3 linked regions of the Diceros bicornis minor genome follow. The protein of the gene in region 1 purifies or fractionates together with the protein of each later gene. This does not show direct contact. Links are inferred from orthologs where the notes say so. Each region holds a gene or a part of one and is shown on either strand. Other genes may lie near its edges.

Evidence for each region.
Region 2: the proteins of HDAC6 (region 1) and HSP90AB1 purify together in Homo sapiens (affinity purification with mass spectrometry, with the first as the bait; 4 studies listed by BioGRID). This does not show direct contact. The link is inferred for Diceros bicornis minor from reciprocal best matches to the Homo sapiens genes HDAC6 and HSP90AB1.
Region 3: the proteins of HDAC6 (region 1) and RPS6 purify together in Homo sapiens (affinity purification with mass spectrometry; 3 studies listed by BioGRID, with this or other methods). This does not show direct contact. The link is inferred for Diceros bicornis minor from reciprocal best matches to the Homo sapiens genes HDAC6 and RPS6.

What each region holds. Positions count from the first base shown.
Region 1 is NC_080781.1:42,093,865-42,097,609, reverse strand, and holds the start of HDAC6 (histone deacetylase 6), read right to left. Parts: upstream 3,000-3,745; 5' UTR 2,820-2,999; coding exon 2,724-2,819; intron 2,525-2,723; exon of another isoform or gene 2,384-2,524; intron 2,310-2,383; exon of another isoform or gene 2,083-2,309; intron 1,994-2,082; coding exon 1,871-1,993; intron 1,787-1,870; coding exon 1,658-1,786; intron 1,524-1,657; coding exon 1,435-1,523; intron 1-1,434.
Region 2 is NC_080753.1:21,618,291-21,622,035, reverse strand, and holds the start of HSP90AB1 (heat shock protein HSP 90-beta), read left to right. Parts: upstream 1-1,244; 5' UTR 1,245-1,340; intron 1,341-2,801; coding exon 2,802-2,948; intron 2,949-3,247; coding exon 3,248-3,454; intron 3,455-3,554; coding exon 3,555-3,714; intron 3,715-3,745. UniProt on the Homo sapiens protein: Molecular chaperone that promotes the maturation, structural maintenance and proper regulation of specific target proteins involved for instance in cell cycle control and signal transduction. Undergoes a functional cycle linked to its ATPase activity.
Region 3 is NC_080761.1:41,585,257-41,589,001, forward strand, and holds the start of RPS6 (small ribosomal subunit protein eS6), read right to left. Parts: upstream 2,800-3,745; 5' UTR 2,733-2,799; coding exon 2,727-2,732; intron 2,679-2,726; exon of another isoform or gene 2,560-2,678; coding exon of another isoform or gene 2,557-2,559; intron 2,179-2,556; coding exon 2,047-2,178; intron 1,503-2,046; coding exon 1,292-1,502; intron 1,099-1,291; coding exon 952-1,098; intron 1-951. UniProt on the Homo sapiens protein: Component of the 40S small ribosomal subunit. Plays an important role in controlling cell growth and proliferation through the selective translation of particular classes of mRNA.

The sequences.
Region 1 (3,745 bases):
GGACAGATAAAACTGTTTGGTGGTTACCTTGGGCTAGGGGGGTGGGATGGGGGCACAAGGGGTGGAGGGATGCACTTATATGGTGACTGATAAACAATAATGTACAACAAAAATTTCACAATTGGGCCAGCCCTGTGGCATAGCGGTTAAGTGCGTGCACTCCGCTGCTGGTGGCCCGGGTTCGGATCCCGGGCACACACCGACGCACCGCTTCTCCGGCCATGCTGAGGCTGCGTCCCACATACAGCAACTAGAAGGATGTGCAGCTATGACATACAACTATCTACTGGGGCTTTGGGGGGGAAAAAAAAGGAGGAGGATTGGCAATAGATGTTAGCTCAGAGCCGGTCTTCCTCAGCAAAAAGAGAGGATGATTAGCATGGATGTTAGCTCAGGGCTGATCTTCCTCACAAAAAAAAAAATTCACAATAAAAAACAAAGATCAGGTGTGCAGGAGGGAGAGTGGCCAGGCAAAGGCCTCTCCGAGAAAGTCTCCTTGAGATGTGAATGTTAACCGGGCAAGGAGAAGGTGGAAAGGAATCTCTGGAAAAGGGATCGGCCAGGGTAAAGACCTGAGATGGGAGAGTGCCTAGCATGTTGGAAGAACAGCAAGGGGACCAGTGTGGGTGAAGTGAAGTGAAGGGAAGGGAAGCAAATGACAGGGAGGACTGGCTGATGAGGTCACCAAGATGATGTGGAGCCAGATCACATGGAACCTTAGAGGCCAGGATGAAGAATTTGGACTTTACCTTCAGAGGAATGGTCTGCCCTTGAAGGATTTTAAGAAAGAAAACATCACCTAGTACATATTTTTTTAGGCTGTTGTGTGGAGAACAGACAGCAGGGGTGAGGCTGGAAGCAGGGGACCAGTGAGGAAGCCTCTGCAAGTCTAGGTGAGTGATGATGATGGTGGCAGTGGAGGTGGTAAGGAGACATCAGATACTGAATACATTTCAAACACAGAGCCCAAAGAATTTCTGATGGATTACAACATGTGTGAGCGAATAGGAGGTATTATTCTTCTGTTTCAGCACAAACGTCCCTTCTTCATGGAAGCCTCTGGGAACCCTGGATGCTAGTTTAGGGTCCTCTATTAAACACTCCCGAATCCTCTGGTCTTAAGTCCTCCTTCATTAAACACCTCACACTGCTGTTGGCTGTTTAATGATCTGCTCTCCCATTCCCCTGTCAGCTCCTTGAGAAGGGACTCCGTCTTGTCTGACATGTTTGTATCACCAACTCCTGGCACACAGTAGGCACTCAATAAATGTTTGTTGGCTAAAGGAAAAGAACCTTTTCAAGCCTGAGCCCCATCTCCCTAAATCACCTGCTTCCAGTCTCTAGGCTAGTGTAAGAAAGGATTAATTCTTGCTAACAGGCTCTAAGTGTGTATATCTGTGTGGTTTGGGGACGGCCTGGAGAAGCCAGCCTCACCTGTCATCCCAGAGGCAGTGAAAATCATTTAGCTGCTCATCGAACACCAAGCCAGTGCCAGACAGTGTCTTGGCCTCAAGGTTCAGATCCTGCAGGGAAAAAAATGGGAGACACCGATGGATTTAGACCCTAAGTCAGAGGGAACATCCCATACTGTCCAGGATGGAGAACCTCAGGGTTTTGATGGTCACAGGAGGCTAAATTGCGGCCAGGCCCCTCTCACCAGCCCTTGTAGCCCCATGATTAGGTCTTGCTCGGCTGCTTGGCTGAGCTTCTTCATTCTGCCTTTCTTCTTTACCTCCGCTAGATTGGGGCTGGAGCGGAGTGTGGCACCCTTCTTAACACCTCTCTTCTGCCAAACAGAGAAAAGGGTCAGAGTCCAGTGCACGGCCCACTGCTTCCCCTCTCCCTCATCAGGGCAGGTCTGGGGCCTCACCGAGGTGACGCCGGAGTCATGGGGTGGTGAGTGGGGACTGTGCCTACTCCTTCGCTGCCTGGTTGTGGTGGAATCCTGGCCGGTGGAGGTCATGGTCGGGGGGACTTCGCCCCTGACGAGTTTCTGGGGGTGGGGTGGAGGTGACTGTGAAGGGGCTAGAGTGCCCTGAGGACCCCATATCCCAGCCCATTCCCAGGCCCCGCCCCCTATACCAGTTTCCATCTCTTAGGCTATCCTATTCCCCACCGCCTTCTAAACTCTGCCTCTCTCAAGGCCCTCTTCCTCCACTGAGGTGTCCATTCCACCTGGTCCCGCCCATTCCACTAGGCTCCACCCCTCTAATTCTTTCCCCTTTCAAAGTCTTGCCATTTCACTGAGCAATTAACGCCCAGGCTCAGTCCGTTCTAGGGCCTGTACTTTCCAGCTAATCACGGCCCCTTCCGCTCTACCAAGCCCCATTCCCAGACTCTTTCATTCCTCTAAGCCTCGCCCATACCCCACCCCTTCACAAACCTGCCCTTTCCAGTCAATCTCCCGGGATAATCACCCACCCTTTCACTCAGCCAGACCCAGGCCCGGCCCCGACTCCACCCTTAACGATCCACTTAACTCCACCCCTTATCTGGCCGGACCGGCACCTTTCACTTGGCCAGATCCCGCCCCTAACGTTTCAACAAGCCCTACTCCTCAGGGGACTTCCCCTTTCCTTCCAGCAGGCCCCACCCCCTTGCCCAAACCCTACCCCTAACGCGTCACCAAGCCCCTTCAGCCAGTTCGGAGCCGCCTCCCGCCAGCCCCCTCCCCCTTCGCGGCCCCGCCGTCGACGCTGACCAATCGCCTCGGCTCCACTTACTGGGCGCAGCCCCTTTCTCAAACTCCGCCCTTGGCTCCCGCCGCCAAATTCCCGGCGACCTGTGGGGCCGCGAGTGCCTGAGGTCTTCTTTTCCATTGGGCCGGGTCTCTCTACTGCCCGCCCTGATCCCGCCCACACCGGTGTTCGTGCCACAGGGCCGCGCCCCTCGTGTGGGCCGCGCCTTTCGCGGGCTCACAAACAGCGGGTCAGTACGTCAGCGCGCGACGCGGGACGTGCTGCGCCTGCGTGAAGCGCGCGCCGGCCGTTCGACGCCGCGCTCAGGCTCAAGCTTGCCCCTCCCCCAACCACCTCAGCTGTTGTCCTGGCTGTTGTGGCCGCTGTCTGTCTGTGCCTGTCCAGCCACCTGAGGAGTCCTCCGGGCCCGCGCCACCTGCCGTGCAATGAGTCAGGAGAGAAAGCAAGCAAGCGGGAGAGTTAGGAAGAGGCGTCTTTTCTCCTCCCCGCGGCTTCCCGCGCGGCGCGCCGTGATGACGTAGCGCGGGCGGGCCGGCCTCTTGGCCGGGAGCGCGGTTGAAACTGGACAATGGCTATTGGCAGCCAAAATGGGATTGGTGATGATCATAAATGTGAGGATTTTCTGAGTTAATATATTCTTTAAGGTAGTACACAGGAAGCACTCACCAAGTGTTAGCTATTAATATTCTACCGCGAAAATGGATAGTGAGGCGGAAGGAGTCTTAGTAGGGGCGAGTAATTGTAATGATAGAAAGTGTTGTGTGGTAGGCGTTGTCGTAAGCCACAATTCTGTGAGGTAGTTCCCATTATTAAGGCTGCTTTGCAGATAAGGAAACTGAGGTTCCGCGACTTAGCCATGTGACCTTGGGCAAGTTACTGAACATCTCTGCTTCAGTTTCCTCATCTGGAAAATTGTGATAATAATAGTGCCTGGGGCCAGAATGGACTCCAGGAGGGGAGTATTTCTTGGGCAGTAGCTCTCCCTGCCAGCCCCCTCCACCGGGTAACCTCTGCTCTCAAGCTGTAATAGAAAGTATGTGCCTGGG
Region 2 (3,745 bases), on another chromosome or scaffold:
CCGCCCTCTGGCCAGCGTCTTCCTGCGGTCTCCAAGAGCCTCTGCCACCCTGCAGGGATCCCTGGAGACCCTGCCCTCCCCAAGTCTAGGCAGCTGCAGGAGGGAAGAAGGCGAAAAAAACGAAACAATTCTGAGAAACAGCTAGATGTGCTTGTGTAGGGAAGACGCAAGTCTCTGCGTTCCACACGAGTGGGCGGCTGCAGAGGCTGGGGAGGGTCCCTCCGGTAGCGGCCCCGTTCCCGGTCTCGGCTTGCTGAAGGCGGCGCCCGCAGAGCCGCCCCAACAGCCAGTGTGCTGTGTGATTGACGGGGAGAGGAGGGGTCGAGCAACCATTCCCTCTACGCTCCATCCCCGCCACGAGCCCGTCCCGGGTAGCTAAGCCTGGTGGGTGGGGAAGAGGGTCCCGCCTTCCGACTGGACCTAACAGTAAAAGGAATTGGGGTACCCTTTACCTCCCCGGGAACCATGGCAGAACGGTCGCGGGGCGGAGCCGCAGCACACGCCGCAGCGGGCGGGGCGGAGCCTCGAGGGAACGGGCGGGGAGGAGGCGGGGCCTCCGAGGCGGGCCTGGAAACTGCTGGAAGTAATCGCAGTACCGCCGTCGTCGCTCCTTCCGCCGCGCGCGGGCAAAGAGTCCCCCGCCAGCCTAGGCCGGCGCCCCTCCCCCAGCCAGAGCCACACCTCGTAGCGAAACGCCGGTCTTTTCCCCTGTCCCCGAGAGGGCCGGGACCCCGGGGCTGCCCATAGCTGGGCCTCGATTTCCGCACCGTCCCCGGAGAAAACCCCTCCCCCTTATCGGGATGTAGGAATGCGTAGGGCAGATTCTAGGAGAGAGGTCGAGCCTGGGAACGGAGGTCGGAGTGGTTGGCCGCCTCCACCCCTGTTGTTAGGTGTCCCTCGAAGGCGGGACTCTTGGGTGTCCTTGCCCCACAGATCTTTAGGGAGGTCAGTGGGACGCTGGCCCCTAGATCCACCGCTTATGTCACATGAGCATTCTCAATCTCTAGCTCAGGTGGGGTCATGCCTTGGAAGCGCTGAGACGCGTACGCTCTACATGCACACCAAGGACAGCTGCTCTCGCCTTTCACCGCCCCCACCGCTACTTTGGACCATGACGTCAAGGTAGGCGGGCGGCGGCAGGTGCGGGGCTGACAGGCATCCTCCTTTAGAGCGGAGGGATCCGGGGGCGGGCAGCTGGGCTGTGCTTCGCCTTATATAGAGCGACTAGGGGCGCACAACCGCTCTCTTGAGTCACCCCCTCGCAGGCCCGTTGTGGCGTGTGAGCCGGCCACAGTCTGCCCACCTTGCTCCTGTAGTCTTTGCCATCCTTCCCCGTTAAGGTAAGGCCGCGGTTTTCTCCTTCCGGCGTTTCTGTCTTGAGCCCTCTTTCGAGTTGCTTTCGTCCCCCCGTCCTTTCCAAAGGCCTAATTTTCTTCACTGGGGCGGCCTTTAGGATACCACTCCTCCTGATTTCTCTCGGAAGTGGGTGGGAGGGACCCCTCGAGGTTGGCATGTTTTTCTCCTATGCTTGGGTGGCAGGCCTTCTCTCAGGCGGCGACTATCTACGGGCGAGATGGGCCTCGGCGTGGGGCTGGGTAGTGGGCAGCTGCACGTGGTGGCCGCGCCGGCCCGGGACGCTGCCATGTTTGCTCCTCCACTTCCGGACGCGACTACGGGGCGCCGGAGGGTCCGCAAGGGTCGTGGGTGTGCGCGCTCGGCGTGACTCAGCTCGGCCTGGTGCTGGCCTGGTTTTGCCACCTCTTGTATGAGACGCGTTTTTCAAGTCTAGTCGGTTCCTTCATGTGAGGGTCCGCGACGAGGAACGCTTTCGATCTCTTGTGGCCCGTCGTGCTTTCTCCTTCCAGATCTTTCTTGCAGTCCTGGTGGAGGAGGAGGGGAGGGGGCAGGCTCTGGGAGATTAATGGGCTCTTTGCTCCCCCGCCCCTCTCCGAGAGCTGAGATTGTTCTGGAAGCTTCTGGAGCCCGGCGCCCCGCCCTGGTGCTCGGATGCTGGGGCGAAGGGAGGCTGCGCGGCGGCGCCCCCTCCTCGTGTGTCCCCGGCCGACGCATGTCCGGCAGTGACGAGGGTCGGCCTGGTGGACCACGGCCACCATCTTAGTTGTGTTTGGTTTGGCACTCTACTTTGGTCACATGTGTTGAGGTGTCGCGATGGAGCTTTTGCTTTATCGGTTCTTTGTCTTAATAGCACCCTGGGCGGGTATCCCACTCATCTTAGGGGTTATCCTCCTCTAGTGTGTGAGGCTGCAATGTCACTTTCCCTCGACGTAGGAGATAATCTAGTGGGAGAGCAGTTTCAAATCATTGCCGTTTTAAAAGTAGTCACGTTGGGTTTTTTTTGCCATGTCAAAAAAGGTAATACAATTGTAGTTAGTGATTTCCACATTGAAAGGTGCGTGTGGATTATCTGGGACTCTCTCTCGTTCAAGATAATCTGCATTAGGTGTAGTCTTACAGTTCTAACAAAGCTCCTAGGTGATGCTGAGGCTTCTGGTCCATGGACCACTTAGAGTAGTTTGGATCCAAGATACTTTCCAAAAGACCTGACCTCATATTTTGTTGAACATGTTGGTTTTTCTGTTCTCCCAATTGGTTTCCCGCTGAGGGTGCAGCCTGAAATCTTTTGAAGGAAAGGGTCTTCAGTCTCTTGAGAATGGATACCAGGCAGCTCAAAGCAGTTTGAACTAAATCTCTTCATCTTCATTGTGACTGGGGTGAACTTGAGGAGTCTTAAATTTGAGATCATGGTGTTCTTTAGTAATCCTTGACCATTCTTATTTTAGATGCCTGAGGAAGTGCACCATGGAGAGGAGGAGGTGGAGACTTTCGCCTTTCAGGCGGAAATTGCGCAGCTCATGTCTCTCATCATCAATACCTTCTATTCAAACAAGGAAATTTTCCTTCGGGAGTTGATCAGTAATGCGTCTGATGTGAGTGCTCAGAGCGTTGTCTTGGGTGTTGTTTTTTTTAGCACTCCAGAAAAGGGAAGAGGGGGTGGTTTGGTATTTTGTAGGGCCTGCTATTGAAGGGGATAAATCTGCTGCAGTTACAAAAGGGTTTGCCTTGTTCCACTTCGATAGAGAAGATATTGTAACTGTAACTGGTTCTTAAATGTCAAGGGATAATCAGAATTGAGGCTATTTGGGAGTAAAAATGGAAAAAGTTTTCTTTTGGATGAAGGGAAGGGCTTTAGGAAAGCAGAATTGTAAGTTGCAATTTATGTTTTCAGGCCTTGGACAAGATTCGCTATGAGAGCCTGACAGACCCTTCCAAGTTGGACAGTGGTAAAGAGTTGAAAATTGACATCATCCCCAACCCCCAGGAACGCACCCTGACACTGGTGGACACAGGCATTGGTATGACCAAAGCTGATCTCATAAATAATTTGGGAACCATTGCCAAGTCTGGTACTAAAGCATTTATGGAGGCTCTTCAGGTATGTGATATTTTAGCTAGGCAGGCACAATTCCTCATTATCAGTGTTCTTTAGCTTGCTATTTCTTCAAAATTTGTGTTTAACTTTTTAACTTTGGCAGGCTGGTGCAGACATTTCCATGATTGGACAATTTGGTGTTGGTTTTTATTCTGCTTACCTGGTGGCAGAGAAAGTGGTTGTGATCACAAAGCACAATGATGATGAGCAGTATGCCTGGGAGTCTTCTGCTGGGGGTTCCTTTACTGTGCGTGCTGACCATGGTAAGTAGGCTATCCTGTTGAGATATCTGGG
Region 3 (3,745 bases), on another chromosome or scaffold:
TATTTGCCAATTATTTTTTTTAAATGTAAACTTCAAGAGGAAAGTAATTCGTGTGTTCATACCGTATCAACACTTAAAATAGCACCTGGCACATAGGTGTCCAAATATTTGGAATGAGTAACCAATGAGCACTTAGTATAGGCTAGGTATAGGTTTAAGTCCCCAGTCCTGAAAACCAAAACTCAAATTTTTTCAGATTTGTCAGGAGAACCCAACCTGAACTGACGTGCTATTTATTCTATTTACTGTAAATATTCATACATTTCACTACAGAAATATCAATGTTACAGAGCATTGCTGCCAAAGACTTCACTGGTGATGGGTTATGTTGCTTAATAAACATTATACCGTCTTAAAATATAAAACTCCAAAATCCCAAACACCTGTTCCCTAGTGTTTTTAATAAAATATTTTTCTAATTTCTAATTCTCACAACTCTTACTATCGCTACTCGCATCCTACAGATGAAGAAAACAAGGGCCAGAAGTTAAAGCAACTTCAGTTGATGAAAGCACGTATTTCTTTTATAAAGAAAAAACAAAAAAATTAGAACTTCTGCTATGGAAAGACTGCTATGCAAAGAAAAAGCAAAAGTGTGTGGGAGTGAGAGCACATTCAATCATAGTCCCAGAATTTTCTATCATTCTTTCCACTAATTCAAAAGCAAGATCTTAATGTCTGGTAAGTTATCTTTGGGTAGACTTACACATCAATTGACTCACAGGCACATTTTCAAGGAAAATATAAGAGGGCACTGGATGTAACAAGGATTAACACCAACTGCATATCTTGACACTCTTCCCCAATAATTTCCTGAAAACTCAGACTCCAGGTAAATAAAGAGTGGGCACAGATTTTATCATCTAATATGCACACAAAATGCTAGTGCCAAATTACTGAAATTAAGCCAGCGTTAACTTACTGACATTAAGATTGCAGAATCTCCCTTACCTTCTTTGTTTAGGGGCTTTCTCACAACATACTGGCGGACATCATCCTCTTTAGAGAGATTGAAAAGTTTGCGGATTCTGCTAGCTCTTTTGGGCCCCAGCCGACGAGGCACAGTAGTATCAGTGAGTCCAGGAATGTCCTTCTCCCCTAAAAGAGACAAGTGAACAAAGACATTTTAATTCAACAACTTCCTCACAAACAAGAACTCTAATTTATTGTTTATGCACTGGTAAAAGTCCATTGGTCAAACTGTGGATACTGCAAATGAAAAAGCACTCGGACAATCAACTTTAAATCAATGTCAACAAAAATTGAACTCAAGAACACAAGCAACCCTCACCTTTTTTTACAATGACCAAGTTGAGAACACTCAGGTTGGCATCCACAATGCAACCCCGAACAGATTTGCGCTTTCTTTCTCCAGTCCTCCTCGGTCTGTAACAGGAATGCCCCTTACTCAATAGCAGGCGGACACGGCCATGGGTCAAGACACCCTGCTTCATAGGGAAACCCTGCTTGTCGTTCCCACCACTGATCCGGACCACATAACCCTGCAGGAGAATACAATGACACGTTATAAAATAAAGGACTGTGGCCTCTACGAAGGTGTACCCCTCAATTCTAGGAAGTACAGTTAATTAAGACCGATTTGAAACTTCTTAATATTCTCTGGCCACTAAGTTTTATCTACATTTCCAATTTGCCAAGCTCAATTAGCAAATTCCTTCCAATCAAGTCATATTCCTAGCCTTTGCTTTACCAGCGGTAACAGCTCCAGGGGGAGAAAGACTACGTTAAAAAACCAAAGGACCAACGAGCAACAAATCACAAACAACCCTTCTTGGCACTTTTAATTCAAGATACCCTTCGGAGACCATTAGCTTGCAGGACAAGAACTTCAGGTATATTTTCCCATGTGATCTACATAACCCTGCCAGGTGACAGCTCAACCTTATAAAGTGACATTTAGAAGTCACTAACCCAAGATCAGAAGACAGAACCCTGAGTCTGAAACCCATTACACACCCCAATTATCAACAGCGTTTACCATCTCTCAACTAGTTCCAACAACTCAATGCTGTACTCAATTTTTACCTTCCACTCTTCACCCAGAGCGTCAGCAGCAACTTCTGTGGCCATACGCTTCTCATAAAATGTACGAAGTTTGCGTTCATCGTCCACTTCAATGAGTTTCTGGCAGCCAGTGGCTGGGAAAGAGATGTTCAGCTAAGGATTAAACGGGGGAAAAAACAGCTTTATGAAAACCGCAGAGCCACCAACAAAGACAATCCTAATGCAAAAAGCTTTTCATGTCACCCCCACACAACCAGCAGAAAATCTGAGATGTCCATTTTATTCTCTAAAGCACATGTGTACGCAACAGCGCGCAACGAGCGCCGCACTCCAATTGGGAAGTCTTTCCTCAAGCCTCGCGGAATGATTCCGCGGGCCACAGGCGCTCCGCAGCCTTCACCCTCTCGGAGCAAGGAGGCCGACCCGGGGGCCGCCACCCGGGCAGCAGAGCCGCATCTGTCCCGGCAGGGTGCCAGGACGCCACCATAGCTTGCGCTGCCGGGCGCCGCAGCTCCAGCAGCAATCGCTCGCCATCCGCTTTCCCAAAGAGCTCTGGCCCCAGAAGGGCGAGGCTTGTCCTGCCTCAGACCCTTCCCCAGCTAGAGCCAGGATTTTGGAGACGTAGGACTGCGGCAATGCCGTGTTCTCGAACTCGATTCACTTTCCCCGAGCCTAATTCAACGCCCCCCGCCACTGCCTACCTTCATGCTGAAGCAGCCGAACGCCTCCGAGGCGCCACGAAAAAGAGGCCCAACTTCCGCTTAGCGCAGGTCACATAGGCTCTTCCAGTTCTCGCGAGAAGGGCAGACGACTGGGAAAGCGGAAGTGAGCCTGGGTAGGCTGCACTTCCGGGAGTGGGGCTATTCAGCGGCGTGGGGTGGCTTTGCGCGGTGGCAAGTACGCAGCCACCCTAGTGGCGGGGCTTGAATGAGGCGGCAGAGGCTTAGTTCTGAAGGTTAGCCTCTACACTGCCTGATGTTTCCCGCGTTCTTCTGGGCCAGGGCGGGGCCCCAGTCGGTCCCGGACACTCTGCATCTGATGGTACCAAAAAAGGAGGGCAGGACCGGAGGTCAGCTCTCGGGCTGTCCGGTACCTCAGACTCCGGCCGAACATTTCCAGATCGGGAGCGTGTCCGGCCCTGGTTCCGGCGGTTCACAGCAAGACGCCCTGAAAACCGTGATTTGTTTTTCCTTTAAATACTCTGTGGTCCTCTAACCGCTCTGCAGTCATCGTTGTTCTGTTGCAGAATGACACCCTCAGCTACCCTGTCGCGCAAATCAATAACCACAATTACCCCAAGTCCAGGGAACCATCGGTGCCTCCTAAATAGTCTCCCTGCTTTCTGTGCTGCCTCTACGATCTTTTTAAAACGCAAAATTGTATCACTCCCTTGCTGGAAATGCAGCATTTACTTCCCACTGCAGTTAAATACTTTCCCAACTCCTTACCCTGGCCTCACAAACCTTCCAAAGTCCCAGACTCATCTATTGCCGCTCGTTGATGCCAGGCAGGTCTTTCTGATTAGATATCCCTCGTAAGAGAAGCCTTTCCTGCCCACACGACCTAAAAGAGCGTCTTTCTACTTATTCTCTAGTATAGCCCTGTTTTCCTGTATAGTACTTAATCACGATACATAAAATGATATCTGCTAGATGATAAATTAAGCCAGGGCTCATGTCTTGACTTCACTGGTATAGTTAGGCTGCAGCAAAGTGCATGG